4 linked regions of the Stegostoma tigrinum genome follow. The protein of the gene in region 1 purifies or fractionates together with the protein of each later gene. This does not show direct contact. Links are inferred from orthologs where the notes say so. Each region holds a gene or a part of one and is shown on either strand. Other genes may lie near its edges.

Evidence for each region.
Region 2: the proteins of capzb (region 1) and cnot2 purify together in Homo sapiens (co-immunoprecipitation; 4 studies listed by BioGRID and IntAct, with this or other methods). This does not show direct contact. The link is inferred for Stegostoma tigrinum from reciprocal best matches to the Homo sapiens genes CAPZB and CNOT2.
Region 3: the proteins of capzb (region 1) and cracd purify together in Homo sapiens (co-immunoprecipitation; 3 studies listed by BioGRID and IntAct, with this or other methods). This does not show direct contact. The link is inferred for Stegostoma tigrinum from reciprocal best matches to the Homo sapiens genes CAPZB and CRACD.
Region 4: the proteins of capzb (region 1) and cnot9 purify together in Homo sapiens (co-immunoprecipitation; 3 studies listed by BioGRID and IntAct, with this or other methods). This does not show direct contact. The link is inferred for Stegostoma tigrinum from reciprocal best matches to the Homo sapiens genes CAPZB and CNOT9.

The regions. Positions count from the first base shown.
Region 1 is NC_081381.1:30,770,694-30,778,418, reverse strand, and holds the start of capzb (F-actin-capping protein subunit beta), read right to left. Parts: upstream 3,190-7,725; 5' UTR 3,040-3,189; coding exon 3,037-3,039; intron 1-3,036. UniProt on the Homo sapiens protein: F-actin-capping proteins bind in a Ca(2+)-independent manner to the fast growing ends of actin filaments (barbed end) thereby blocking the exchange of subunits at these ends.
Region 2 is NC_081371.1:45,261,044-45,269,248, reverse strand, and holds the start of cnot2 (CCR4-NOT transcription complex subunit 2), read left to right. Parts: upstream 1-5,195; 5' UTR 5,196-5,249; intron 5,250-8,205. UniProt on the Homo sapiens protein: Component of the CCR4-NOT complex which is one of the major cellular mRNA deadenylases and is linked to various cellular processes including bulk mRNA degradation, miRNA-mediated repression, translational repression during translational initiation and general transcription regulation.
Region 3 is NC_081354.1:109,541,858-109,549,005, reverse strand, and holds the start of cracd (capping protein inhibiting regulator of actin dynamics), read right to left. Parts: upstream 3,290-7,148; 5' UTR 3,282-3,289; coding exon 3,245-3,281; intron 1-3,244. UniProt on the Homo sapiens protein: Involved in epithelial cell integrity by acting on the maintenance of the actin cytoskeleton. Positively regulates the actin polymerization, by inhibiting the interaction of actin-capping proteins with actin.
Region 4 is NC_081360.1:103,197,022-103,204,664, reverse strand, and holds the start of cnot9 (CCR4-NOT transcription complex subunit 9), read left to right. Parts: upstream 1-4,577; 5' UTR 4,578-4,815; coding exon 4,816-4,839; intron 4,840-7,643. UniProt on the Homo sapiens protein: Component of the CCR4-NOT complex which is one of the major cellular mRNA deadenylases and is linked to various cellular processes including bulk mRNA degradation, miRNA-mediated repression, translational repression during translational initiation and general transcription regulation.

The sequences.
Region 1 (7,725 bases):
TGGATGTTGCAGGGCAACCCCATTTTAACAGAAGAGCAGGTGCACCCTCACACACCCAAACATATGACATAGCTTCTTGTCCAAGCTGCAAAAGTTATATTTCACACCAAGTACGAAAGACAAGGACAACAAATGAAGGAGACTAAGCATTCTCAATAAAGATATGCATCCTAAATTTCCAAAACACCACTGGAACGAAGGCTTTGGGTACAAGCCCCTTTCAGAGATTTGACAACATAATCTCAGTTGAGGCTCTAGTGTAATATTGATGCAGTATCATACAGCAAACTTTGTTTTAACTGGCCCCTTATCTACCAGCACTCTTTATAAACCACCAACCCTCAAATACTGCAATCTACATTGATGTCTGAGTATTTATGCTCTTAATAACATATAACAGCGGTACGTATACCTCACATTACATTTATGCTACATACTACGTGTTTTTACACTGCGTTTAGAAGGTTTGTTGATGTTTTTACATCGTTTTTTTTGAGGCATATTGATGTCTCGAAGCTTCACTTGGTCAGAGTTTAATGCAGTATGCATATCTCTTGATTATATGGAATATTTCCTCAATCGCCACACTCCCATGCTGTATGACTCTATGACTCCTGGTCCCACTGGTGCCAGTTAATAAAGTTTGCTGAATTTTCAGATGAGATGTCAAACCATGTTCATACAAGTCTCTGGCATGGGTGTAGAAGATCCAATGCAACATTCTCTCAGAACACAGAGTATGCTTCGTGTCCAGGCTAGTATTTATCCTCAATTCTCATTACTAAATCAGATTTCTGATGGCAATCACATTGATATTTGTGGGGCCTTTGTATATGCATATAATGTAGAATATGTGGCAGCCAATAACAGTAACTGTTTTTCAGAAGTTATGCATTGACAGTAAATCACTTTGGAACATTCCATGGCAATGAAAGGTGCATTAAATTGCAAGTTCCTTCTTTCAATCTATTCTTCCTTGACCCTCTGAGTTACTGATTTTAGTCTCTATGTATGCAACATCCTTTGGTTCTGCACATCAAAAGGTTGGTGGAACAAGAGGGAGGATTATTCCCAAGTCAACTCGCACCTGAAGAAGGGTTTCAGAGGGGTACTTTCAAAGGCAAAGAAGCAAATTGCTTGTTCATATTCATCATTTTTAAAGCAAGGTTAAGTACAATCAGGTGATGATAAAAACAAAAAACATTTCATATGCCTCAAGATCAATAACTTAAAGGATCTATTCAAAGAGATGCTGTCATGAGACTTAAATGCAATATTCAGACAACACTGCAGACTTCAATACTGTGCAAGTCCTTGATTATCATATGAAACTGCTCTCACAACAAAACTACTTATAACAGCTAGTACATTAAAGAAGTGTCATAAACTCTGAAATTCCTCCAACACAATCCAAGTTTGAAAGAAAACAGAATCTATATTTTTACTACTCAAAGTGCAAACGGTCTGAAAATGTCACATTTTACGCAATCATTGCTTGAATATTTCTGTTACAAGGGGATCAAAAGCACAACAAGTTTCAATCAGTCTATGCAAAAGCAATAAAACAAAGCAAGGGATTTTCTGAATTCAAAGATTTCAGCATTTCTTTAGAAGCATCAGAAATGAGAACGAGGTCATGCCAGTTACCCAGGCTAAGAGAAATGGAAGTTTGTTATTGACTAATCTGACATGTATTCAAGTCACATAAAATAAAACAGTGCCATAGCTTGGTTTGAGTTGAGATCTGGAGACTAATTCACAATCAACTTCTTGATAAAAAGGCTCATCAGCAAATACAGAGCAGCAATTAGTCATTTGGTCTACAAAAAGACCTTGAGACCAAGAAATTGAGACACGAATTGATATTTTGAGATTAGATTGGTTAAAATAAATGAATAAAGGATTAAAACTTTTCCCAATGCAATCTATTCAAACAGTTCAGAAAACAGATCATGCAAGATCTTGAAAATTACAATCCTCGTCTAAACCCAACAAATGAATAACACAATCTGTCAAAAGATAACTTCCTCATTTCTACAGTGAAATGCCTCTGATGTGCCACCAATGAAGATAAATCCAGGAGGCAAAACGACACCAAGTACTTTTTAGTATTACAGATAGAAAAATTAAAATCGCTTAAGTGTTCAAATATATACATATCTGACTCTCAAACTAATCATTCCACCAACAAGCGTTAGTTTGAAAGTGCTATTATCTTTCATTGAACAATAATAAATATTAGAAAATAGATTTGGTTTAAGGAAAACCCAAAAAAGTATGATCTTCTACTGTAACCAGTTGTAAACTAATCTCTGGGTCTGAAAATTTATTTTGTTAATCACTCAATTTTCACCACTGTGGAGTAGCATCCATCTAAACTCCATTTAATAGCTTACAATTTCAATGCAAGGGCGCTCAATAACTTTGTCCTGCGTTGGACCGCATTTCCTTTAAGATGCACAATTGGGGAACCCTGAATTCACAACAATCTGACATCAAAAAGGAATCCAACTGCCTTCAGTGAACGTCCGTTGAATGGTCAGAGGATCATAACACCAAAAAAAATTGCAACACAAGACTTGAATGGACTATCCCAACTAGGACACTGGCGCAGGTTGAGGTTGTGACAGTCCAGAAGACCAAAAGCTCACAGTTGATCTTCCCTCCCTCCGTCAGTCAGATCTGGTCTGGTCTGAATGAGGAACAGTATTTGGCAGGAAGTTTGCCTCCACTTTACAGCAAGGCGCGATGTGGAGAGAGAGGATAGTTGATCGCTACCCCAAGGAATCAACAAGATAAACTGAAGGGCAGCTGGATTTAGGAACCGTTACCGGGAGGTGAGCGGCGATGCAGACACAGGGCCGGGTCGGGCCGAGCAGTCCTCCCGCCCCGTGTCTCCTCTCTACCTCACCCCGTTGGCTAGCCGGATCTAACTCGCGGCGTCCTCCATGCGAGGACCAGCTGAAAAGAGGGTCCTGTGTCGGGAAGTGGGGCTATGAATAGATAGGGCTTGCCCCGGGACCAGGCGATACTCACCATGGCGATGGCGGTGGTGACGGTTGGCGGCGGCACTCTCGCGGACGGTTTCTTCGTCGGGCCCGAGCGATCATCCGGGTCACGCAAACAACCCGCGCTCAACCAATCAGCGTCCGAAGCTGCAGCTTGCCCAAGTATGGGCCTTGCAATGCGGAAGTGGTGCTCCAGTAGATTCTCTCCCCTCCTCCCGCACGACTGTCAATACCCTCAATGTCTGCATACCACCCCTGCACTGTCAATTCCCTTACTACCTGCACATACCCCACTGATCGTCAATGTCTTCACTATCTGTACACTCCCCAGTGCACTTTCAATATCCTCAATATATACTCTCCCCACTGCACTATCAATACCCTTAATATCTGCACATTGATCAGGGCACTGTCAGCATCTGTACACTTCGCAACGCACTATCAATATTGATATTAATAGTGCAGCAGTATTAATATCCTCAATTTCTGCATATTCCCCACTGCACTATCAATATCTGCACACTCCCCATGGCATTATCAATGTCTGTATATTCCCGAATACATTGTTAATGCCCTCAATAAATGTACACTCCCCCACCCCCACACTGCCAAAATCTCAATATCTGCACCACTGCACTGTCAATATGCTCAACATCGGCACACTCCCTGCTGCAGGCTCAATATTCTTAATACCTGAACATTCCCCAATGCACTTTCAATATCCTCAATATATACACACTCCCCACTGCATTGTCAATATCCACAACATGCACATACTCCCCACTGGTGTCAATATTGTCAATTCCTGCACAATCCCCAAAATGCTGTCAATGTCCTCAATATCTGTACATTCCCTGCACACTATCAAAATCTCAATATCTGCATATTCACCACTGCACTGACAATATCCTCAATATGTGCACACTGCCTGCTGCAGTGTCAATATTCCCAACACATGCATACACTCCAGTGCACTTTCAATATCCTCAATTTATACATTCCCCACTGTACTGTCAGTGTCCTCAATTTCTGCACACTCCCCACCGCAGTGAATATCCTCAATATATGCATACTTCCTGATGCACTGTCAATTGTCAATATTTGCATTATTCCCTCTACACCATTGACGTACTCAATTTCTGTGCACTCCCCCAATGCATTGTCAATATCCTTAATAAATGCATTCTCTCCAATGCACTGTCAACTGTCAATATCTGGACAGCCCCCACTACACTGTCAATGACCTCAATTTCTGCACACTCCCCAATACACTGCCAATATCTGCACAGACCCTACTGAACTATCAATATCTCAACATCTGCACACAGTCTTCAATGCACTGTTCTTATCCACAATATTTGCACACTGTCTGCTGTACTGTCAGTATCTGCACACACCCCACTTCATTATCAGCATCCTCAATATCCACTCACCCTCTTCCCATTTAGGTAAAATATTGTCCATTCATTCTCCAACGTCCTTGAATGTGTATATAACACTTACATTTATTTTTCATACAACTGTTTACAGTATTCCTCCCTTCAGAATTCTGGCACTGCCAAAGCACAACAACAGATCTAACCAATATGCACAAACTGTACTTTTGGTGATTAGAACATGATATTTTATCTTTATACAACTTCCATTACTTGGTCATAATGGACAAGGTTCTTCTCTCAGGCACTGGAACAATTCCAACAAATTGATTATTGGGAAATTAATTTAGTGCAGATTAGGAAACAAATAGGGTGACACATTGGCTCAGTGATTAACACTGCTGCCTCACTGTGCCAGGGATTCAGGTTTGATTCCAGCCTTGGGTGACTGTCCATGTGGAGTTTGAATGTTCTCCCAGAGTCTGCATGGGGTTTCTCCCACAGTCCAAAGATATGCAGCTGAAGTGGATTGGCCATGCTAAATTGGCCTGTAGTGTCCAGAGATATGCAGGTCAGGTGGTCAGCCATGGTGAATGCAGGATTGTGAGGATGGGGTGAGATACTCTTCAGAGGGTTGGTGGTGATTTAATGGCTGGATGGCCTCTTTCTGCACTGTAGGGAGTCGATAATTTGTTTTCGTCTTCATGACTGTGGACCACACCACAGAAATCCAAGGAGCCAAAATAAATCACTTTAATTCACCACTCTGAATAAGTTATGTTTTAAATTATAAATATTAAATTGTAAATATATATTTACCATAAAAAAGAATAAGACATATTACAAACCCACTTAAACACACAAAGCAGTTTATTTTTGGTGTAACATATGTTTTAATCCTCATCCTAATTCAGTCTTCACTCACCATTTACACACTTTCTATAACAGGAAGCATAGGTTAGATTTAAGAATAGCATATAGGGGCATGAGAAAACTGGAAGCATTTGTTGTAAATATAACTGTGCACAGTAAGAACATTTGGTGATATCAAGTTCAGCTTTCATAAGTATGTCAATCTTCTGTTAGGTTTCATGTTTCAATATTTTTGGAGGGTTACACTTAGAGATAACTGAAAGGAGAAGTGAGATTCTCCAACTGGCATTTAGTAGAAAGGAAAATGGCAATACATTAGGGTTACTATTGACTATTGTTATGGTCCCTGTTATGAGAATCCTGGACAAACTTGTTGTTATTGTGATTTGGCTTCATTGGCCAACATCTTGTAAAAAAAACAGAATGATATCAGAAAAAAAAGCACAAAAGAAAGCAGCAGGATACCAGGATTGAACTGAAACACCAAAAAATGTTCATTATACAAAGTTGAACAAAACTAACCTAAGCGATAATAACTAAAATAGGTACAATAAAAAGGTAAGATAATTATTTTGCATCATATTTAAATTTAGACGCCAGCATTCAAGATTAACAAATGCATCAGTTAACGGAGAAACAGTAGTTGAGTACCTCATGGATTGCACTATAAGCAACTGATGCAGTCAAGTCAGATTCCACCCAGATGTTGGAAACATTGTAGGCTGTCAAATCTCATCAAAATTGTCTCTTTTACAAGGGATTCCAATTCTTCATTTTCAAATATCTAAATGTGGGACACAGTTAAAGCCTCTCCAATTTGGACTGTGTCAAATTCTGCTCATGTCTTAGTAGTTCAATTTCTTCTCCTATGACAGAGCATCATAGGCACAGAGCTGTACAGCATGGAAACAGACCCTTCAGTCCAACTCATCCATGCCAACTAGATAACCTAAATTCATCTAATCCCATTTGCCAGTACTTGGGCTCATATCCCTCTAACCCCTCCTACCCATCCATGTACCCATCCAGATGTCTTTTAAATGTTGTCATTGTACCAGCCTCTACCACTTCCTCTGGCAGCTCATTCCACATACCTACCAACCTCTGAATGAAAAAGTTGCCCCTTAGATCCTTTTAAATCTTTCCACTCTCATATTATACCAATGCTTAAATTGTTTTTGACTCCCTGGCTCTGGGAAAAGTACCTTGCCTATTCACCCTATCCATGCCTCTCATGATTTTATAAACTTCTAGAAGGTCAACCCTCAGCCTCCAATGCTCCAGGGAAAATAGCCCCAGCCTATTCAGCCTCTCTGTAAAGCTCAAGCTCTTCAACCCTGATAACATCCTTATAAATCTTGCTTAACCCTTTCAAGTTGCACAACATTTTTCCTATAGCAGGGAGACCGGAATTGCACATGGTATTCCAAAAGTAGCCAAACCAATCTCCTGTAAAACTGCAACATGACCTCCTAATTCTAATACTCAATGACCATTAAGGGCAAGCATACCAAATGTCTTCTTCACTACTCTGTCTACCTTCAGCTCTATTTTCAAGGAACTATGAACCTGTACTCCAAGGTCTCTTTGTTCAACAGCACTCCGCAGGACCTTACCACTGAGCGTATAAATCCCGACCTCATGTGCTTTTTCAAAATGCAACACCTCACATTTACCTAAATTAAACTCCTTCTGCCACTCCTTGGCTCATTGACCCATTTGATCAAGATCCCATTGTACTTGGAGGTAACCTTTTTTGCTGTCCACTGTACCACCGATTTTGAGGTATTCACCAACATCTTTTCAACCTTTCCCTCCTACAAGCCGAAGTCCCCACTTTCTTCAAGAAGACTACCATCATCCTCATACCCAAGAAAACACTTGCAGTGTGCCTTAATGACTACTGCCCAGTGGCTCTAACTTAAATAATCATGAAGTGCTTCGAGAGGCTGGTCACGGCCCAATCAACTCCAGTCTTCCAGCCTGCCTCGATCCCCTACGGTTTGCCTGCCAACATAAGATCCACAGAGGATTCCATATCCCTAGCCCTGCACTCATCCACGGAACACCTGGACAACAGAGACACCTATGTCAGACTCCTGCTTGCTGACTGCAGTTCTGCCTTCAACACCATTATCTCCTCCAGACCGATCTCAAAACTGAGTGACCTTGGTCTCGGCCCCACCCTCTGCAACTTGTTCCTCAGCTTTCTGACCCACAGGGTGCAATCAGTGAGGATAGGTAACGGCATATCCTACACAATAACACTCAACACTGCAGCCACGCCAAGAGTGTGTCCTCAACCCCCTACTGTACTCCCTGTGCACCTACAAAGGTGTGGCGAAATTCCCAACCAGTCAAAATACAGATGGGAGGTAGAAGGCTTGGGGATGTGGTGCAATGAAAACAATCTGTCTCTCAACATCTGCAAAACTAAAGAACTCATCATTGTCTTCAGAAAGAAGGGA
Region 2 (8,205 bases), on another chromosome or scaffold:
GATTCTCCAGCATCGGCAGTTCCTAATATCCCCGGGACCAGTTTAGTTTAGGATTATGGTCGGCATACACTGGTTGCTTCCACATCAAGTCCTATCATCAGTCAGTATCACCGTCATTCAAGGACAGTGTCTGAACTCAAGTGGGGCTTGAACACAGTCAGTTGCTCACTTAGCTGGATGGGGTCAAGGGATCTACATCATTACCTACTGGGGAATGAGCCATGGTCAGTCATGCAGGTCCAGTGCAACCAGTCTGGCATTTTGTGGTGAGTCTATCAGGCAACTGCTTAGAAATTTATTAAGTGTCTGGGCTATCAGTCAGGGCTATCCTTCCAAGCTAGTTGGGGTGGATACCACATTCATTCTCTTGTAGCTGAAGTTACAATAACAGTTGATGATATAAAGTAGCAATACATTTCTGAACATGAGCTTCTATTTCCAATGATGACAGTAAAAACATAAGAAATAAGAACACAAATAGGCTATTTGACCACTGGAGCCTATCCCACCATTCAATAGCATCATGGTTGATCTGACGCTCCTCACGCCCACCTTCCTGCGCTTTCCCTATAACCCTTGATTACCGTACTGATCAAGAATCTATCTCAGCCTCAAATATACATAAGGAAGGTTCACCCATGTCACCCTATGTGCCCTCAGAGCTGTCTTTTTTTTTGTTTCCCTCCCAATATGTGTGTACTATTCATGGGGTGAGCTACTGACCTTGTGCAGCTGGGCTTTAAATACTCTACCCACGAAAGAAGTCCTGGAAATTCCTGGCTATGGTGAGGACCTCTGCCACTGCGAAGTGCACAATAGCAAAAGCAAGATACCATAAAGGAGTGGTGGACACATGATGAGATGAACAGCAAGGAACTGTGCCAGATAACCACTAGAGCTCAGAGAGAAACCCTCTACAAAAATCCCTCAGTGATACTTAGCCAATGTTTGGTTAAATTCATCCGTTTGATTCTCCTTTTCAAAGAAACTTATTTTACCTTCTGAATTGAATTCTGGGCTTTTCTAGACGAAAAGTTTGATCATTCTGTTCTGAAGTCAAAACTAAACTAAATTACCTTAACTTGCTTCCTCTGCCTGTCATAAACCTAAGAGCGTAAATACTTTATCAATTAATACCACGGGTGTTTGTCAGGCATTTGCTGAAGTTGTAGACCTTCTTCAAAATGATGCAGTTAATCACTGTTAAAAGCCGCCTATTTCACCTTTTAAGAAAAACAATCCTTAACAGAACTGACCCACAGCCATCTGCCTAAATTTTCAAATCCAAACTTCAAAAATGTAATATATAATACAGCTTTCCTCATACATTCCGCAAAAGTGAAAATGCAAAGGTATCCTTAAGAGGCAATAGCATCTTTTTCAAACATAACGTTGCTCTTAACACCATTTCTGTGGTACATCATCTGTAACAATTTATTTATAATGAATACGCACCAATATTCCTAATAACCATATTCTACGCAAGTTCATTTTGATCATGACATTGTTTCATTCATATTTGCTCTAGAAAAGCACCTGCTATAATATTGAATGATTTCTAAAATTATACGGTTGTAGTATTAAACTGTAATGAAACAGTCTTAAATTCTCATCTGAAAACTCTCCAAACATCTGAAGACAGGCCATTGTATAAATAATAGTCTCTTCAAAGTTATTAAACAAGTGAATTTCGAACTTTTGCAGAGTCAAAAGACATTTCTCTATTATCAATTATTTCTGCTGATAATTACTCAATTTCTCAAAATAACTGACTGGTTATTTCACCTCCATTTTGTCCTCCTTTTGGTAAAATAGCACTTACCAGCAATAAAATTGGCATTAACAGCCAGAGCTTGTCATTGTGGTGCCCCCTGTCTTCCTGCTACCCTATCTATGCTCCTCATAATTTTAAACATCTCAACATGTCCACTCCCCCTACACCACCTCTCTAAGTAAAACAACCCTAGCCTATCCAATCTCCCTTCATTAAAAAACCCAGTCCAGGCAACATCTTGGTAAATCTCCTGTGCATCTGCTCCAGCGCAATCATATCCATCCTCTAATGTGGATATCAGACCTGCACACAATACTCTAGCTGTGGCCTATTCAACATTTTGTACAGTCCCAGAATCACCTCCCAGGTCCTTAAATCTATGCATTGGCTAATAAAGGCAAGTATCCCAAATGATTTCTTAACTTCTTTATCTCCCTGTTCCACTACGCTGAGAGGCTGCAGGCTCTGCACACTAAAGTCCCACTGATTGTCAGTGCTTCTGTCCCAATGATCATCAAGTACATCACCACACACTTATCTGGATTGAATTCACTTTCCACTGATCACCCCCTCCGACCAGCCTATCCACATCCTCCTGTAATCTATGGCTATCCTCCTCACTATTTACTAACCCAACAATTTTTGTATTAGCCAAGAAAGTACTGATCAACTCTGGTACCTTCAGGTCTAAACCATTTATAGGTACCATAAATAGCAAGGGCTCAAACACTGATCCCTACAGGACCCAACTGGACACAGACTCCCAGTCACAAAAATAGCTCTTAACCATCACTATCTGCTTCCTGTCACTCAGCCAATTCTGTACCCAATTTGCCAAATTTCCTTGGATCCCACAGGCTCTCACATTTGCTATTAGTCTCCCACACTGGACATTATCAAAAGCTTTGCTGTTAAGCAGACTACATCAAATGCACGGACCTCACCTACACATCTGGAGACCACTTTGAAATATTCAATTAGTCAGACCTGACCACCCCTTAATAAAACCTTGCTGACTATTTGATTAATCCCTGCTTTAAAAAAAAGAAAACAAAAGGAAGATTTAGAACAGAATATTACAGCACTGATTTTGCACTGGCTGTTTCAAATGGCTTCAGCGATAGAAGGAACTGCAGATGCTGGAGAATCTGAGATAACAAGGTGGAGAGCTGGATGAACATGGCAGGCTAAGCAGCATCAGAGAAGCAGGAAGGGTGACGTTTTGGGCCTAGACCCTTCTTCAGGAATGATTTCTGAAGAAGGGTTTAGGCCCAAAACGTCAGCCTTCCTACTCCTCTGATGCTGCTTGGCCCACTGTGTTCATCCAGCTCTACACCATGTTGTTTCAAATGGCTAACTAATTTCATTCCACACTCCTTCTGATGCTGAAAATTAATCCTCTTCCAAGCGTAAATCCAATTGCCATTTAAAGTTCCTGTGGAGTCTGCTTTCAGCATTCATGGTTTTGCAGACTATTAGGGAATGCACGTGAAAAAAAAAGGCCATTGAGATACTTGTGGACAACCAACACCAAATTAGGTTGCTAGACTTACTTTATTGGATCTCTCATAATTCTGAATATCATATCAGGTTTCCTTTAATTTTGCCTGGTCTAAGGATAAAAATGTCAGTTTCTGCAATTGCTCCAAATAACTGTAGTCCCTCAACTCTGTTACCATCTTCATCAATCTCCTTGCAGCCCCTCCGACGACTGGAAATCTTTCTAAAATGTAACGTCCAGAACAACGCACAAAAGCTGCAGCTTAGGCTAAAGATTTGTAAATGTTACATGATTTCCTTGATGTTGCATGTTTATGTATTTAATGGCACTAATTAAAATGTCAGGCTGGTGTTGCAACATGAGCATCTCTTATGGAACAGTGATAATGCCCCTACTTCTGAGCCAGGAGGTCCAGGTTCAAGTCCCATCTGCTCCAGATGTGTGTGATATCACCTCTGAACAGGTTTGTTAGAAAATACCTACAATCTAAGTCATTGTACTATCATGTAAAAGAAACCAGATTGGGAAGTTAAAATCTTATTATTTTTGTAATCAGATTTTGGGTTAGCAGGCTATTCTAATTTTGTTCTTGGCCTTTTAACACTTACTTGAAACTCAAGTTTCAATTACAGTTTTGCAGTCATTGTCTATATCTATAATTCGATGGATATTTGCAAGTACCTAAATTTACTATTATTTGGATCTGATAATAAATAGTACTAGAGGCAGAAGCTGCTCATCTGTGCATCAATTATTGATATTTCACTCAAGCTGGCTGGTCTTTGCAGCATACTGCATGTATGGAATTGTACAAATTGTACAAAATGATAGATTTAATTTTGGTTAATATTGAAGCTTATTCAAATTAATCATTTATAATTGGCTACTTGCTAAATACACTTTATTGTGACAGTATCATACAGTATCTCCACGTTAAAGTGACTGTTAGCTTTACATCCGTCATTGTCAATATCATTTTCAAAATTGATACAAAAACTTCCAAAATAGTAGGCAACTGTTATCATATGAAATAAAAATAGATGTTAAGATATTCTACAGATATTTTAAGTGGCAAACAATGACAGGCAATACAATATAGGTTTATTTAAGACCCTGGTTATGTTAAATATTATACTTACAATTCATGAAATCATCACAATTCCTCCATTACTGCTTTGTTTCTAGATGCAGCTCCCTGTGACATGATATTAATTAAATCAAGAATCAAAATAAGATTGCAGTTGGACAATAGATAAATGATCTCACCAATATAAATAAATTTCAAAGATTAACACCAATGCAGTTACACAAGCCTGACAGATGCAATTACTAAAAGATGCAAAAGAATTTCTATGCTGAGAAATTTGGAGGAAACCCCTTCTTAAAATTTAAAATTTCTACATTTTATACAAAGTATAAAAAGAGTTTCACCAAAAGGCAAATTTACTGCATAAAGACGACAGGGAGAAACCGATTGCTTCCCCCCTCACTCGTATTTTGTCTCGGTTAAAAGTTCTACGCCATTCACATATTATTTGGAACTGGCGAAAATAGTGCAAGACAGAAATAGGGTGAAATATACACATGGTTGATTTATCAATCCCAGCTACATTCATCATCAGCTCCAGGCCACACACAACTCTCTCCGTGTGAGTGTCTCTCTCAGCACGGTGTCGGGATTTTGAGGCTTTTTCTGGGGTCAAAACAAAATCTCAAGAGGAGCGAAAGATGCGTTAAAATAAAATAAACAACGAAGGCTTCAAACTAAACTGGAAAGAAAGCGAAAGCAGAACCCGATAATAAGAAATAGAAACGCTGCTTCCTTTACTCGCCTCCACCTGTTTATTTTCTGTTGTCATCCTTTCGCCTGCTTCCAGGGGAGGGGGGTAAAGGTCATAGGGTAAAGGGCAGCACCCAGCATCCCCGGTGCAATACACAGCCATCTTGGAGTTATTTTAGGAGATAATTCATGCGGTAAGTTTTAACGTTTTCTTTCTTTATTTCTCGCTCGGAGCCGCTAGAGCTCCGTCCCTTTGGCGTCGGCGACAACTTTTTCGATGAAAATGTTGCCGAGCGCGGTGGCGGGGAGTGCGGGCTGATCTAATGGGGCTTGGGCGGCTGCTGTGCCTTTTTTTTGTCTGGGCTCTGACTGAGTCTCCCTCTCCACTGCACCCCCCCCCCCTCTCTCTCTCTCTGGTTTAATCGAGTATCATTAAAAAAAAGCGGACAGGCCAACCCAAGCAGCGAGGAGCCGGGGAGCAGAGTAAGATCCCGACCCTTGCACGAACACATACACCTCAGGCACTGGGCCTTGCATCCGACTTTCGCCCTCCTCTTCACACTTTACATCATCATCCTCATCATCTTCATCGGGATACATTTTACACTACGAGACCCGAGCTGTGTGCCTGGCGTTTCCGCAGTTATAACTACAAATCCCCCATTGCTTCTTTGCTCAATTTCAGAAATTTGGTATAGTCGCGATATATCCGATCCTGGTTCAGTGCATTGCATTTTTTTAAGCCGTCAGCAAATGTTTACTTGTTTTCCTTTTGGATGCAACTTGTCTATTTTAAGTTGTTGGTGGAAGTTGTATTTATATTTTGTTTCAAACATAGTTTTGTTCCATGCTGACACCATTGTTTGCAGAAAGTTCCTTGAGTCCTCACAATATGAGACATGGCGATCATTTCAGAATTGTGTTGCACAGCTAAGGGAAAATGATTTTTTTTGTATAAAAATGTAGCTGGTGATTTGGATCTTGTAAGTGATGATAGCCACTGAAACAACAGCACGTCACAAACATCTCGCTTTTAAACAATTTATGATGGAAAGGGCTGAACATCTGGCTTTGTTGTTCAATTTTGTTATTCCAAATAATTTTTTGCTGTTATTAGTTTTTCCTGTTTGTAATGACTTTGGAAATATTAAATTGGACAAATATTGAATCAGACCAGATTATCACACTGGGAATCTAGCTTTCTAAATCTACGAGATTTTAAGTTCTCCAATTTTTTTTAAAGTTTATACAGTTACTTACCTTATTTTTCTAGATTATCAGAATTTTTCGAGGGATATGGATTGACACTTACAAATATAAATTGGATGTCAAACTATGTTTTTAACTACTTTTAGCATAGCGTAAATCCTTGGTTTAAAGAAGGAAGGGATAGATTTGTCTTTTTTAAATGATGAACAACTTGAAATAAACTTCAAATAAGATCTGAGATAGCAAGGTGTAGAGCTGGATGAACACAGCAGGCCAAGCAGCATCAGAGGAGCAGGAAAGCCGACGTTTTGGGTCGAGACCCATCTTCAGAAATAAGATCTTACAGCTTTGCAGATATGTTAACAGTTACAAATTTTAAATAAGCATTAATGGTATCAAGGCAGTGGTTATAGACTTGGTGGTGTATGTCTATGTGATTTAAAATTGTAGTATTTGTGCATCAGCAGCACTGATGCTAACTTCTGTTGCTGATTTTGCCAAAACAAATAGAACTTCTATAATTTCCATATTCACCTTTATGCTCAAGTATTTTGATAGCGCTGGACAATGTGGTATTTTCTTAATCAGAAAGAACATTTTCAAAGTTGTATGGATGCATATACTATCTGTAATCCAAAAAATTGTAATATTGATACAGTAAGTAGACATTTCCATATTAGAGCTGCAGTACTGTGGGACTGTTGGGTGGATGTTTTGCCATCTATTTTCTATTTCACAGTTTTGAGACTACCAGTTGTGTGAGCATGCTTGCCTACTTGTCCTTACCTTTATATAGCTTTTACTTGTTTATTGGGGGCACTGCTACAACAATAATTGCATTTTTATGGCTGAAGCGTTTCAGTTAAGTGTTTTAATGTTCTTAGTCTTGTTTTTCTCCTCTCCAGAAAATGTGAGGTTGCCCAAAACTAGTGAACTGTTGCTAATGGCTCATTGAATCAGCTGAAGAAATGCCACCCTGTTGACCACTGGTTGTCAGTAGGATTTCAGCAAAGCTGTACAGATTATGGATTTGTGAGCGTGTTGAATTTTGCGCATGTAATTTGGAAAACACCCAGCGCAACTGTTAGGTTTTGTCCTTTCAAGTGTGGGTTACATCTGGAGAGAACAAATTGAGATTGTCCAATTGGATCTGCACCACTGTTAGAGTTTAGAAAGGTCGATTACTGGTGGCGGTGATGCTGAGACAGATTTTTAGTGAGTGATTAAGGATATTGCATTTTGTTTTAAAAGGGTATTATCACAAGTATTTTTCCTGAATTATATTGCTGATGCATTAGATAATGAAGCCCTAAAGGTTATTGAAGCTTTCAGCAAAATGTTAGACAAGTTGACAGAGTATTCTGTGATCCTGAATCAGGGAGAAAACAAATAATTTGATCTTTAACAAATGACCAGAGGAAAAATTCTTTGATTCTGCAAGATTCCTAACCACTTCATTGGAATGATTGAGACATGTGATGTGAAGAGGCTACATTGAGAACCACTTACTCCTGTTTCATTGAATAGAATTGAAGAATGGAATACATTCTCAATGACTTTGGTGTTATGTTAAAGGATATACTATTGGCATAGAGCAGAGTTTGTTAACAGACTAATGCATAGTATGCTTGATTTTTAAAAATCAAAAATTTTGATTGCTTCCATAGTAATAATTCATTTGAGAATAACTGGTAAGATGTTTTATTTTTTCACTGTGACACTTTGTTTTAAAGCGCAGAATGGCATCTTCATCCTTATTCTTGCTCAAATATTGTAGACCAACCCAAAGCCCTACCAGTTTTTCATGACTTAAGATGTACTTTCGTGGCAAGTGATTGACTTGGAATCACTAGAATCTGAATTAACCAACTTCACTTCTCCTTGGAAAGGTTTGAATAAGCATTCATATAATGTTGCAGATGTAGTTGACATATCATTATA
Region 3 (7,148 bases), on another chromosome or scaffold:
ATTGTTGGTGACCATATCTTGCAGGTACTTGACGCTGTCAACCATCTCCACCTCAGCACCACTAATGCAGACAGGGGTATGCCAGCTCCTTCATTTTGATAGAGAGATTGTTGTTTTTACATCATTCCACTAAGCACTCAACTTGTTTCCTGTATCCTGTCTCATTGTTGCTTAAGATCTGACCTACAATGGTGGTATCATCAGCGAGCTTGTAAACGGAGTTGGGGTGGAATCAGGCCACACAGTTGTGAGCATATAAGGAGTATAGTAGCAGCTTTGCAGGGCACCAGTGTTGAGGATTATGGTGGAGGCGGTGTTGTTGCTTATTCTCACTGATTTTTGTCTATGGGTCAGAAGTCAAGGATCCAGTTCCTGAGGGGTGTAGCAGAGACCTAGGTCTGAGTTTGGATTTTAGTTTGGTTGGAATTATGGTGTTGAAGCTGGAGATGTAATCAATAAGTGGGAGCCTGACACAGGGATCCTGGCTATCCAGATGTTCCAGGGATGATTGGAGGGCAAGGAAGATGGCATCTGCCATGGACCTATTGTATTGGGAGGTGAATTAAAGGATCAGGGAAATCTAATATGCTGGAGTTGGTGCGAGCCAGACTAACCTCTTCAAGCACCTCATCATTAGAGGTCACAGCCATCGGGTGGTAGAAATTGGAGGCACACTGCATGATTTCTCTTTGGCACTGGGATGATAGTGGTCTACTTGAAGCAGGTGGGGGCTTCAAGTCATAGTAAAGAGAGGTTAAAGATGTCTACAAATATTCCCGTGAGCTAGTCCACACAGGATCTGAGTGCTTGGCCAGGGACTCCATCTAGGCCAGTTGATTTCCATAAATCAGCCTTCTTGAGCGTGAACCTAACACCTGCAGAGTGACCATGCGTACAGGTGCACCTGAGGCTCTTGGAATAGGTGACATCATTTCACTGACCTTCTGTTCAAAGTGAGTGTAGAATACATTTTCAACAATCTTATCATTTACCCTCGACACTGAATAATATTATTACTGCTGAATCCTTCACTGACATACTCAGCAATATCATTGACCAGGAAATGAAGTGGGCCAGCCATATAACCGTTTCCACAAGAGCAGGTCAGAGACTGAGAATTCTGGAGACAACATCCGTCTCCCAAAAACCTTGTCCAACATCGAAAAGGGAAAATTCAGGGGTGTGAGGAATCCTCTTCCCTTGCCTAGATGGGTGTGACTCCACCAATAGTCAAGCAGACCTACACTATTCAAGGTAAAGCAAAGTCAAAGTTAATCAACACCCCTGCTGCCACCATAAACATTCACTTCCTTCCTCAGTGAAGCACTGTGGCAGCAGTAAATATCATCTACAAGATGTGCTGCAGCAACTCACCAGCAACAGTCAAACCCTGATCTCTAACAGATTTAAAATCATCTGCAAAAGAAGAATAAACCCTGGAAAAGCTTTCATACTCAGTGAGTAGTTATGGTATAGAATGCACTGTCTAGAAGTATGGTACGGGCATGTTCAATTGAGGCCATGACGAAGCATTGTGTGATTATTTGGTTAAAAGTAATGTGCAATGGTTTGAGGAAAATGCTGGAGATTGGCACTAAGTAATTGTGCTCATTTAACAAGCCAGTGTAGGCACAATGGGCCAAATAGCTTCCTTCTTCATCATAGCACATCTGTCATCTGGAAGCACAAGGGAGGCAAATATATGGGAACACAACCAGCTGCAAATTTTCATCCAAGACACTCACCATCCTGACTTGGAAATATATCATTATTCCTTCACTGACACTGGGTGAAATACTGAAATTTACACCATAGCATCCTTTTGGATATGCCTACACCAAGCGGACAGCAGCACTTCAAAATGCCTTCTCAAAGACATTAATGGATGGACATCAAATGTTGGCCTTTCTGGCATTTTTTCTGCCACATTTAAAAAAAAACTAAAAAGTAACTATTTCACTGCCCCAGTGCATTTTGCATCAACTAATTTTTTCAGCCCTTTTTATTGCTTTGGGGAGTAGAATGGAAGGAACAACTTGCTTTACAACAAAACAATCCAGCACGTCCCGTTTTGCAGTAACAATATCGTACGTTAGTTTTGTACCACTCTTGTGAACCCTGAAGTACCATCTCAACGTGCTGGACAAATTTACAATAGGCAGAAAAAGCCAAGCAATGAGGAGATGAACCTGATCATTCCGAAAAACAAACTAAATCATCAGTAACCATGCCAACAATCCAAAACAGGTGTCTGACGAAGGGGAGGCCAGGGTAAGGAAATGGCAACTAGGTACAACGGGTACAGTATTAAATGATGAATGGTTTACTACTATCGAAGTTTACTACTGGGATAATGTCATATCAGCTTAAAAATATATAATCATTTCAAAAAGGACTTTCTTTGCTAAAGATTGGTTATGGCATTAGCAAATGGCTCAGAGAAAGTTGGGTAGGAGGCAGGACTTTGGCATATTGTTAGCTATGGTTTCAGCATGGCAATAAACTCTAAGTTTAATTGCCTGATTACACCTCAGATTAAGCAAAACTGGATAAATAAAACCAATGGGAAGGCCTTGTCATGATATTTTCTAAGGATTAGTTTATTCTATTCATTTAAATGTATCACAAATGGAATGCATCTATCTTCCTCCTCCCACTTTTTGAAATCATTAGCAATTAACCAGCTTGCACTGAATTATTAATAAATGCAGTTCTACCATGAAGATCAGTAACTGCAATACAGCCCTATAAAACAGCATGGAATAAAGAGAGAATACTGAACACGTAGCTTTGCAATTCCAATTGCCTTTCAACTCATTTATGAAAAATGTGGATATTGGCAATGACAAATTACTTCCACAAACTGCTATTATTTAAAACATGTTTATATTAGCACAAATCTGTCATAAATAAAACATTTTCACTTTACCTGAAAAATATTGTCATTTCCTTCCTATTTTATTTGGCTTCCCATTGCCATTATGAAGAACAAACAACTATACTGCAATCTGTCATGTAAAAATATATTTATTCTACACCTAAAGTTGACTGTAGATCAGCTGACTTAAAAGTAACAAAACTATAGTTAGGTAATCATTGTTTTTTTTCTTGACTGTATTCTACTTTGCATTTGTGTTGAAATAAGCAGCACATTCCACCACTAGTAATTTAAACAGTGAATGCTATGATCTATACCAGAATACTCGATACATAAACAGAGATAAATGGCTATGTTTGATCTTACCTGCCTGCATTTTGAGTTCAGCTACTAAGTTCCGCATTAAATGCTGCAAGGTATAAATGGAGCCATTGAGGCACCAGATGAGGTGTCAGATAACTAAGCTGTTTTGCTCACACCGAATTTATTGTTAGAACTATTCGAACCAAGCCTCATCACCAGCTGCGCCATGTGTATTAGTGCAGATACCTTTACACCTAAAGATCAATGCTGGTCTTTATCACTGGAAACCAGATGGTTGATTTCAAACTTGCTTAAACGGCAACTTAATATATAGTTGCTAAAATGTTGCTGCATCTTGGAGAACCGGTTAGGCTGCTGTCATTTGTGAATGCAATTGATTTTGTTGGAGGTTATACAGAAACTTTCTCACAGTCTGTTCCAGATTTTTCTCCTTCTTTCTTCTTAAAAGCACAATTTCATGCTGGGTTATAGATCCACATTGACTCACCAACATCCAGCATTTGTCTAAATTGACGATCTTGTAATAGAGGTCATAGTACAGTCCTGTTAGTTCTGGTCATACCACAACAGAACTCAATCATGTCCTTCGCTCATTTGTACATAACACTTTCAAAGAGGAATCACAATACAGTCATAGAGTCACACCACGGAAACAGACCCTTCAGTCATACCAGTCCATGCTAAACTTAATCTCAAACTAAACTAGTCTCGCCTGCCTGCTCCTGGCCCATATGCCTCCCCAACCATTACTATTCATGTACTTATCCGAATATCTTTTAAACATTGTAATTGTTCCCACATCCACCACTTCCTCAGGATGTTCATTCCACACAAACCACGCTCTCTTCTCTTATCTAAAAATATGACCTCTAGTCTTGAAATCTCCCAATTTAAGGAAAAGACAACTACCATTAACTCCATCTACTCCCCTCATTATTTTAGACATCAGGAACCTAGGAGCTAGAATGACATCAGAAAACACTTTGTCACAAAGAGTCTTGGAAAATCTGAAATCTTGAAATCTGAAATTTGCTAAAGAAGCCAAACATGACTGCCTCTTTCATCCCAAGCCTGAGATGAAAGAGGATAAATGGAGTTAAGACAGACAGTAATTCTTGTTACAACCTCCCTTTCAGCAATGCATCCGGAACAAAATGACAAGTCAATGGGGTATTTGTCATTTGTGAAAAATGTCCTGACTCAAGGAGGGATCATATGCTGCCTGTCAATCCAGTGTACCTCCAAAAGCTGCGCATGAATCTTGTGCATTCTGACAGGATTGAGAGCTGCCTGTCACTGTGTGACATTTCTACTAGGATTGAGAGTTATACATGAAGATCCATGGGACATTGTAGTGAGATAGGGGTCATTGGATATCTCAAGGATGTAATATTTTTAATAACCCTGCTCAGTTATGAGACACTCCTGGAGCAGGTGGGACTTGATCTGATGCTTTCCGGCTTAGTGTGCCACAAGAACTCCCATCACCAGGATGTATGTGTATCCCGAGGAGCTGAAAAGATAAGCTTAACAGGCTTAAGACAACATTTGAAATAACTCCACAGAGGTCAGTATCCTGTCACCAAGTCACTCTTTATTTACACAAGAAGAGTCCTTGACTTTAGTTCTGCTTCTTTAGAATCAGCTCTCAGTGCCAGAATCTGATATTTCTGTTTATATCTGTCAGCCAGGGCTCCCTGATTGGACCAGATTAACAGCCAAAATCAAGGAACTCATGTCCTACGAGGTCCAGCTAGCTGATCTTGTTACAATCACTACATCTCTCCCCATCTAAGTCCAAGGACATAGGCCAGTTCTTATTCTTAGAGAGCCTCTTAGAGCACTTTAGCACTGGGTCAGGTTCCTCCAACTCAGTGTCTGATAAGGGCAGCATGAAATGCACAGGAGCTTGCCTCTTGCACCAGGAACGCCTTGGTAGAATTTCACTTTCTTTTAGAGGCAAAGGCATCAAGGCAGTTACATCTGTCCTGTCAATCTCTGATTCTGAGAATTGTCAATGCTTGATGGAGAGGATGAACCTACAGGTTCCAGCAGCCTTCCTGTCTGTTCTGAGGGGTAGGGCACACTTTGCTCCAGCACAGTTTGTGAATTGGTGGATTTCATATAGTCCACGTGCTTGGTCAGACTATTGTGCCTGCCCAAATTTTACATGTCACTAGTCCTGTCCTTGTGTTGATCATGCCTACAATCCATGCAGGGCCACTTCTGTGAGCCTTACACCAAACTTTGTCTCCTGCATCAAACTGTCTGCCTCACCTGGTGGGGTCTTGTGTCTAACGCTAACGTTCTTGATACTATTCCACATCCCCCCCCCCCACCCCCATGTCTGGAAAGATCAGACTTACACTGACAGATTTGATCTGCACCAGGTTATCTCCACCTGGCCCCGAGCGGCCAACCTAACCTCCCGGCCACTGCCCATTTCAACTCTCTGACCCACTCCACCTCCTACACGACTGTCCTCGGCCTTCTCCAGTATTGCAGCAAACTGGAATGCAAATTTGAAGAACGACATCTTATCTTCCACCTGGGCACCCTATAGCCCAGAGGACTCAACACTGAGTTCTCCAATTTCAAATAATTTTGCCAGCCATCCCCTGCCTCCCATCCCAGCTCCACCTCTTCCCTTCCATTCCAGCTCCTGAGTGTCCCTTCCAGCGACCAACCGGATTCATCCCTCCCATCGACCAATCAGGTCGTACATACCACTAGTGTCCATCACTACCATACCTCCCTCTATCTGCAGCTCTCCCTACTGCTACATCCAGTCCTGACTTAGGGTAATACCCAAAGCATTGACTGCTCCTTTCCTCCAGATGCTGCCTGGCCTGCTGTATTCTTCCAGCCTCCTGTTTGTCTGTCAGTGCTATCCCTGTAGTTGCATGTGGGGTGGTCCTAAACTGAAATAAGAAAGGTGACAGGTTGGAATCTAGCAAGGTTGTAGGCTTTTTTTAAAACCTGCTCTTTCTGCCAGGCCATTGGATGATGGGTCGATTAAATGTCGAATCACATTCAATTTTAGGAAGTACCTATATTCCCTGCTGGTAAACAATGGCCCATTACCTGTGGCCAACATTTCTGGGCCTCCATGCATTAAAAAAATGCATGTAGTTTTTCTATCATTGCCCCCTTGTTTGACAAATGGACCCTATATGCATCCAACCATTTTGAGTGGCTGTCTACAAGGACTAAGAACATGAAAGGTCCTGCAGAGTTGAAATGCAACGTGAATGAGGGGGAGCGGCTAGCTTTACTTTTTGTCCTTGTTGACACTCTGGGCACTGGCCACCAACATGGTTATATCTGTATACAGGTCTGGCCACCAGACATTTCACCAACATCTTCGTTTTGGAGACCCTGAATATCCCGAGTAGAGTTCAGCAAGTATTGGACAGTAATCTTTGCTCAGGACAATCACCCTTTCTCCCCATAACAAAATGCCATCTTCCACGACCTAAGCTCTTTGGGTAAAATACATATTTCAATTCTACTTGTGATGGCCCTTTGGATTCCCCCATTGCCACCAGTTCTTACAGTTTTGCCAGGACTAGATCTTTCCACATCCAAAGTTTGACATTGTCAGCTGTGACTTTGGGAGTGTTTCCAGAAAATTTAATGCCATAACAGACTTTCCATTGGAGGTATCAGCAGTGGTGTATCTGCCAGTAGGAGATGGCTCAATGCATCAGTATTCACGAATCAATCTCCTGGACAGTGTTATAACTTGAAATTGCACACACTTGGTAAAAAGAGCCCATCACCGAAAGCGGCCTAAAGCTATGGGTGGCACTACCTTGTCCTCTTTATTGAGACCGTGTAGGGGCTTGTGGCTCTTTTACCCAAAGATCTTAGATCATTGAAGATGGCGTTTTGTTATGGGGAGCAAGGGTGATTGTCCTGAGCAAAGATTTACATCCATAAAGGA
Region 4 (7,643 bases), on another chromosome or scaffold:
GGCTGGGACTATTTTCCCTGGACCATCGAAGACCGAGAGGAGGAGTGTGGATAGTGTAAATGGACAAGGCCTTTTCCCCTGGGTGGGGGAATTGAAAACTAGAGGGAATAGGTTTAAGGTGAGAACGGAAAGATTTGAAAAGGACCTAAGGGGCAACATTTTCACACAGAGGGTGGTACATATGCAGAATGAGCTGCCAGAGGAAGGAGTGGAGGCTGGTACAATTGCAACATCTAAAATGCATCTGAAGAGGTATATGAATAGGAAGAGTTTAGAGGGATATGGGCCAAACAAGACTAGATTAATTTAGGATATCTGGTCGATGTGGACAAGTTTGACTAAATAGTCTGTTTCTGGGCTGTATATCTGTCCCTTCAATCTGTGGAAACTAGAGTCAAAGGTTGGTTTTATCGAATGGGGTAATAACAGCAGATTTAAAGCAGCGACGGCAAAACAACTTAAGAGACTGGAGTCACTTGTGCAGAGAAACGGATGCTGAAAGATTCTAGATGGGATTCATCCCGGATTCATGCGAGAAGGGCTAAAATTAAGAGGCTCTGCCCATGATCTTCCGATCCTTCGTTAGATATTGGTGTGTTAACGACCCAAACATTACATTCCTATTTAAAGAAGTCAAAACCTTCAGTAGAAATCAGTCAGCCTACTTTTGTTTGTGGGAATCATAATCCAGAACAGAACAAACACATGTCCACCCCTCTGTACAAATTATCATTTAGAAACACCAGTTTTCTAGACTTTTTTGAGTAGACTGGAGTATTATTTCAGTGCAATGTTTAGGAAGCAGAAACATTGAAGAAACAGTACTTACATAATTTAACTTTGCTTTAAAACTGCTTAAAGCTATAACACTGTTTTATGTTTCAGATAAGTCTTTATTTCCGAATGATTTCCTGTTCACACAGTTCTGTTTAGATATTCTGACATCATGTCACAATTATGAAAATTCTGGAATCCAGAAATGACTTGGTCTAATTCTTGACCAGCTCAACTGAATCTGCATTTGGACCGCTGTTCTCTCTGATATATTTTAATGGCTTAAATTCTTCTTCTAAAAAGTACTCCAACTTTGGTCTACAATTCACAAATAATTTGCAAACATCGTAACTAATGAGAAGTGTAACCAGAGACTTCAGGAGGACACTGATGAGACACTGAAATACACGAAAAATTAAGTGTGTTGGTAGGAAGAAAGATTGACTAAATGACAAATTTGAAGGGGAGGTCACACAGGAACAGACAGACATGTGCACAAATGTTCAGAGGCATCAGCCAAGTTCATGATTTTGCTTTAAAATTAACCAAACCCTGAAGCTTGCATTCAAAGTACGGCCATGAAAACTTTTACATCTGACCAATCAGCTATACAGTTCATCAGTCAAACATCTGATCACAAAACCATCATGAGCACTCCTGGTGCATAACTTGGAAGCTATAAGCTTCAAACTCTGAGTAAGACTGAACAAATGGCTCCCCCTTATCAACTCTGGAAGTTACTGTATGCAACATAAACCACTAAGTTTTCGAAACCCTCAACAATACAGACAGTAGGAAATAGGAAAACAGCAAAGTTTTGGAACACTCAATTAATTACAAAGGTGTACATTACAACAGCAGCTGTTCCAAAGACACTCTCATTAGGAGCTAAAAGCATATCCTGAGATTGTCAAAGAATATACAGAAATGAAAGTTTAAAAAAAAATCAGGCTGTTTGCCCTGAATGGTGTCAGGTTTCTTAAATATTATCAACCAGGCAAGTGGCGAGTATTCCATCACATTTTTAACTCGCGCCTTTTAGATGGTGGACAAGGTGTTGGGAGGACAAACGGTAAACATAGTAACTGCACAGACACACTGGAGGTCAATTTGCATTCTGGTCCCTTAGAAAGGGCATCATACCCAGTCCTGTGATCTCTACACATTTCCAAAACTGGTTTCAATGTTGGGGTACGAGGAGTCTTTTGGGAATGGAATTTGACATTTGTGGAAACGGTGTTAAGGATGGGAGGGTTAGGTATGGTGGAACAAGATAGGCTTTAGGCAGGACAGAATTAGAGAATGGTTACTATACTGGAAACAGCAGTGGCTCTTTTAAAAAAAAAACAGAAACAGAGACTGCAGTTTGGCAAATTCTGTGAGAAGCAGCAGAGTTAACACTTCAACTCCAGTGATTCTTCAACAGTAAAAGAATCATTCACTGAGTTCCACCTGGGAGCCTTTCCGCAATCTTGCAAATTTCTCTCTTCAGGTAATGATCCTGGTCTTTGCTTCAAAAGTCATGAATCCTTCTCTCTCTCACACACACACACACACACACACACACACACACACACACACACACACACACACACACACACACACACACACCACAACAGTTCTTCCTGTTCCACAACTTCGGTCTTGTGCTCTCTCTCTGTCCCCCAACCCGCCGCCTCCTACAGATACAGTTAAGCTCCATCTCTCTGGCCCCATCCTTGAAATGCAGTCCGCCTCTCTCAGTGCCTACCCCCTTGCCCAGACACAGGTATTTCTGCCCGCTCACTCTGGCTTCATCCTTGAGTGCAGTGCCCAAGACTCTCTTCACCGCCACCACGATACAGTCCTTTCCCCGACTCTCCCCTCAGGATGCAGTAGCACGCCCCACTCCTTTCCTGGGGGTGCAGTACTCCCTACTCTCAGCTCCCCACAGGTGCAGTGCCCTCTGCCTCTCCCCCCCATAGCCCCAGGCACATTACTTGGTCTGTCTCCCCACCGTGGGGTACAGTGTTCACCCTCTCTCCTCCCCCCCGACAACCCCCAAAGGGTGAGGTACTCTCTGTCTCTCCCGCAGGGGACTGCACCCTCTGTCTCCACACCCACTTCCCCCTAGGGGTCTGGTCCCCTCTGCCTGTCCCTCCCTACCGCCGGGGCGGGGCGGGGCGGGGCGGGGGGAGAGGTCTGGTCCCCTCTGCCTGTCCCTCCCTACCCCCGGGGCGGGGGGAGGTCTGGTCCCCTCTGCCTGTCCCTCCCTACCCCCGGGGCGGGGGGAGGTCTGGTCCCCTCTGCCTGTCCCTCCCTACCCCCGGGGCGGGGGGAGGTCTGGTCCCCTCTGCCTGTCCCTCCCTACCCCCGGGGCGGGGGGAGGTCTGGTCCCCTCTGCCTGTCCCTCCCTACCCCCGGGGCGGGGGGGGGGTCGGGGGGGGGAAGGTCTGGTCCCCTCTGCCTGTCCCTCCCTACCCCCGGGGCGGGGAGAGGTCTGGTCCCCTCTGCCTGTCCCTCCCTACCCCCGGGGCGGGGGGAGGTCTGGTCCCCTCTGCCTGTCCCTCCCTACCCCCGGGGCGGGGAGAGGTCTGGTCCCCTCTGCCTGTCCCTCCCTACCCCCGGGGCGGGGGGGGGGGGGAGAAGGTCTGGTCCCCTCTGCCTGTCCCTCCCTACCCCCGGGGCGGGGGGAGGTCTGGTCCCCTCTGCCTGTCCCTCCCTACCCCCGGGGCGGGGAGAGGTCTGGTCCCCTCTGCCTGTCCCTCCCTACCCCCGGGGCGGGGAGAGGTCTGGTCCCCTCTGCCTGTCCCTCCCTACCCCCGGGGCGGGGGGAGGTCTGGTCCCCTCTGCCTGTCCCTCCCTACCCCCGGGGCGGGGAGAGGTCTGGTCCCCTCTGCCTGTCCCTCCCTACCCCCGGGGCGGGGGGGGGGGGGGAAGGTCTGGTCCCCTCTGCCTGTCCCTCCCTACCCCCGGGGCGGGGGGAGGTCTGGTCCCCTCTGCCTGTCCCTCCCTACCCCCGGGGCGGGGGGAGGTCTGGTCCCCTCTGCCTGTCCCTCCCTACCCCCGGGGCGGGGGGGGGGAGAAGGTCTGGTCCCCTCTGCCTGTCCCTCCCTACCCCCGGGGCGGGGGGAGGTCTGGTCCCCTCTGCCTGTCCCTCCCTACCCCCGGGGCGGGGGAAGGTCTGGTCCCCTCTGCCTGTCCCTCCCTACCCCCGGGGCGGGGGGGAAGGTCTGGTCCCCTCTGCCTGTCCCTCCCTACCCCACGCCCCGGGGGGGGGGGGGGGGTGCGGTACACAGACACAGACACACTCCCGCGGGTGGGGTTACGGTACCTCTCGGGCCGTTCCCATAGAGACGGCGCCTCGCGCTCCGCTCCCGCCGCCGCCGCCGCCGCCGCGAGATGGCGGGACTGCCGCTCCCACAATGCCCCGGGGCGTGGAGTGCTCTCAGGCACAGAGCGCTCCTCTTCTCCCCGATCCTGTCCGGTACGGTCCGTCCGCCGAACACCCGCCCCGCTCTAAAACAACCGACTCTCCCCAAACCCCATCACCGCCTCGAATAAAAACATTAAAATGTTCTTCACCCCAACCGCCGCTCAAAATGGCGCGAAGGCAGCCTCCCAGCAAGCAGCGCGCAGCCTGAGGAAACACACCCGCAAAGTCTATCATTTTCTTTTTAAAAAAAATACCCTAATCGTCTGAAGCGCGCTTCGGGCACAATTCGTACGAAATAAACAAGGATAATTATCAACTTGTGTTTCAATGCCGCGGTCACGGGGTGAAAGGGCAAAGGTGAAGAGCGGAAATGCGTTCAAACCTATAATTCCGCGGAATGGTGCGAGGTGAAACTGGAGATTATTCTACACAAGAGAGTCGGATTGCGAAGGGTTTGAATGATTCTCCTGATGTAAATTCCTTTTCAAAATAAAAGACGTGTTTTGGGTAGAAGCGGTGACCAAGGGTCAGAGGTCAGGGTTCACCGGACACAGGAGCCGGGAGCCTCGGGCTCGTTGATGTGAAGTTTTTACCCGAAGAAGGGGCGGCGGCGGCGGCGGGGGAAGATGCACAGCCTGGGGGCAGGGGCGGTAAGTCCCGGTGGGGATGGGCGAGGTGGGGGCCTCTTCCCCGCGCCCCCCCCCCGGTTTAGGCCAGGGATGGGGGAGACAGCGACGCCCTCGCTGCGGGAGGCCCGGGCAGGGACTCGCCGAGTTTACCCGCACTCGGGCGGCGGGGGAGGCTGCAGGGAGCCTGCCCGGGGACCGCCTGAGGCCTCGGTGGGGCTTGAGGCCGAGCCTGTCGGATTTTGTGGTCACCAGGGAGGCGGGCGGGGAAGTGGAGCTATGATCAGACAACCCTAGAATTTCTACAGTGTGCAAGCAGGCCACTCTGCCCATCGAGGAGAGACTAGTCCTCACGTTCTCATTCTTCTCTCCCCCCCCCCCCCGGCATTCTTCTCTCCCCCCCCCCCCCCGGCATTCTTCTCTCCCCCCCCCCCCCCCCGGCATTCTTCTCTCCCCCCCCCCCCCCCCGGCATTCTTCTCTCCCCCCCCCCCCCCCGGCATTCTTCTCTCCCCCCCCCCCCGGCATTCTTCTCCCCCCCCCCCCCCGGCATTCTTCTCTCTCCCCCCCCCCCGGCATTCTTCTCTCCCCCCCCCCCCGGCATTCTTCTCTCCCCCCCCCCCCCCGGCATTCTTCTCTCTCCCCCCCCCCCCCCCCGGCATTCTTCTCTCTCCCCCCCCCCCGGCATTCTTCTCTCCCCCCCCCCCCCCGGCATTCTTCTCTCCCCCCCCCCCCCGGCATTCTTCTCTCCCCCCCCCCCCCCCGGCATTCTTCTCTCCCCCCCCCCCCCCCCCCGGCATTCTTCTCCCCCCCCCCCCGGCATTCTTCTCTCCCCCCCCCCCCCGGCATTCTTCTCTCTCCCCCCCCCCCCCCCCGGCATTCTTCTCTCTCCCCCCCCCCCCCCCCGGCATTCTTCTCTCTCTCCCCCCCCCCCCCCGGCATTTCTCTCCCCCCCCCCCCCCCGGCATTCTTCTCTCCTCCCCCCCCCCCCCCGGCATTCTTCTCTCCTCCCCCCCCCCCCCGGCATTCTTCTCCCCCCCCCGGCATTCTTCTCCCCCCCCCTCCCCCCCCCCGGCATTCTTCTCCCCCCCCTCCCCCCCCCCCGGCATTCTTCTCCCCCCCCCTCCACCCCCCCCCCCCGGCATTCTTCTCTTTCCCCCCCCCCCCCCCGGCATTCTTCTCTTTCCCCCCCCCCCCCCCGGCATTCTTCTCTTCTCCCCCCCCCCCCGGCATTCTTCTCTTTCCCCCCCCCCCGGCATTCTCCTCCCCCCCCCCCCCCCCGGCATTCTCCTCTTCCACCCATTCTCCCCCCACCCCCCGGCATTCTCCTCTTCCACCCACCCCCCCCCGGCATTCTCCTCTTCCACCCATTTCCCCGCCCGGCATTCTCCTCTTCCACCCATTTCCCCCCCCCCCCACCCACCCACCCCCCCCCCCCCCGGCATTCTCCTCCCCCACCCCCCCCCCCCCCGGCATTCTCCTCCCCCACCCCCCCCCCCCCGGCATTCTCCTCTTCCACCCATTCACCCCCCCCCGGCATTCTCCTCTTCCACCCATTTCCCCCCCCACCCACCCCCCCCGGCATTCTCCTCTTCCACCCATTCCCCTCCCGGCATTCTCCTCCCCCACCCCCCCCCCCCCCCCCGGCATTCTCCTCCCCCACCCACCCCCCCCCCCCCGGCATTCTCCTCCCCCACCCACCCCCCCCCCCCCGGCATTCTCCTCTCCCCCCCCCCCCCCCCCCGGCATTCTCCTCCCCCACCCCCCCCCCGGCATTCTCCTCTTCCACCCATTTCCCCCCCCACCCACCCCACCCCCCCCCCCGGCATTCTCCTCTTCCACCCATTCCCCCCCCCCCCCGGCATTCTCCTCTTCCACCCATTCCCCCCCCACCCCCCCCCCGGCATTTTCCCCTCCCCCCGGCATTCTCCTCTTCCACCCATTTCCCCCCCCCCCCCCCCGGCATTCTCCTCTTCCACCCATTCCCCCCCCCCGGCATTCTCCTCTTCCACCCATTTACCCCCCCACCCACCCACCCCCCCCGGCATTCTCCTCTTCCACCCATTTTCCCCACCCACCCACCCCCCCCCCCCCGGCATTCTCCTCTTCCACCCAATTCCCCCCCCCCCCCCGGCATTCTCCTCTTCTCTCCTCCCCCCACTACCCCCGCATTCTCACTCCCCTCCCCCCCCCCCGCCCACTACCCCCGCATTCTCTTCTCTTCCCCCCCCCCCCGACTAGTGGAACCACCTAGGCCTGCACACCTCTGGACAGTGCGTGCAATTTAGCACAGCCAGTCCACCCTAATCTGCACATCTTTGGACTGAGAGGAAACTGCAGTACCCAGAGGAAACCCAATGCAGACATGGGGGAGATAGTAACAACTGCTGATACTGGAGAATGAGAGAACACGGTGGGGAGCTGGAGGAACACAACAGGCCAGGCAGCATTAGCGGAGCAGGAAAGCGGGTGTTTCGGGTTGGGATTTTCTGAAGAAGAGTCCCCGTGCCATGTCACCTCAGGCTCTTGCATCAGTAATTCTTAGTATCTCTGAGTGAGTTATAACCCCACTATGAAGCCATTTCTGAAGAAGGGTCCTGACCTGAAACGTCAGCTTTCCTGCTCCTCTGATGCTGCCTGGCCTGCTGTGTTCCTCCAACTCTACACTTATTACAGACACAAGAAGAATGTGCAAACTCTACTCAGTTGCCTGAATCAAACCCATGTGTCTGTGCACTGTGAGGCAGCAGTGCTAAACACTGAGCCACCCCAATCTTGTGGAATGACAGAAGCTTGACCGAGAGACCAAATCGTCCCCCCTCTTGTCCCT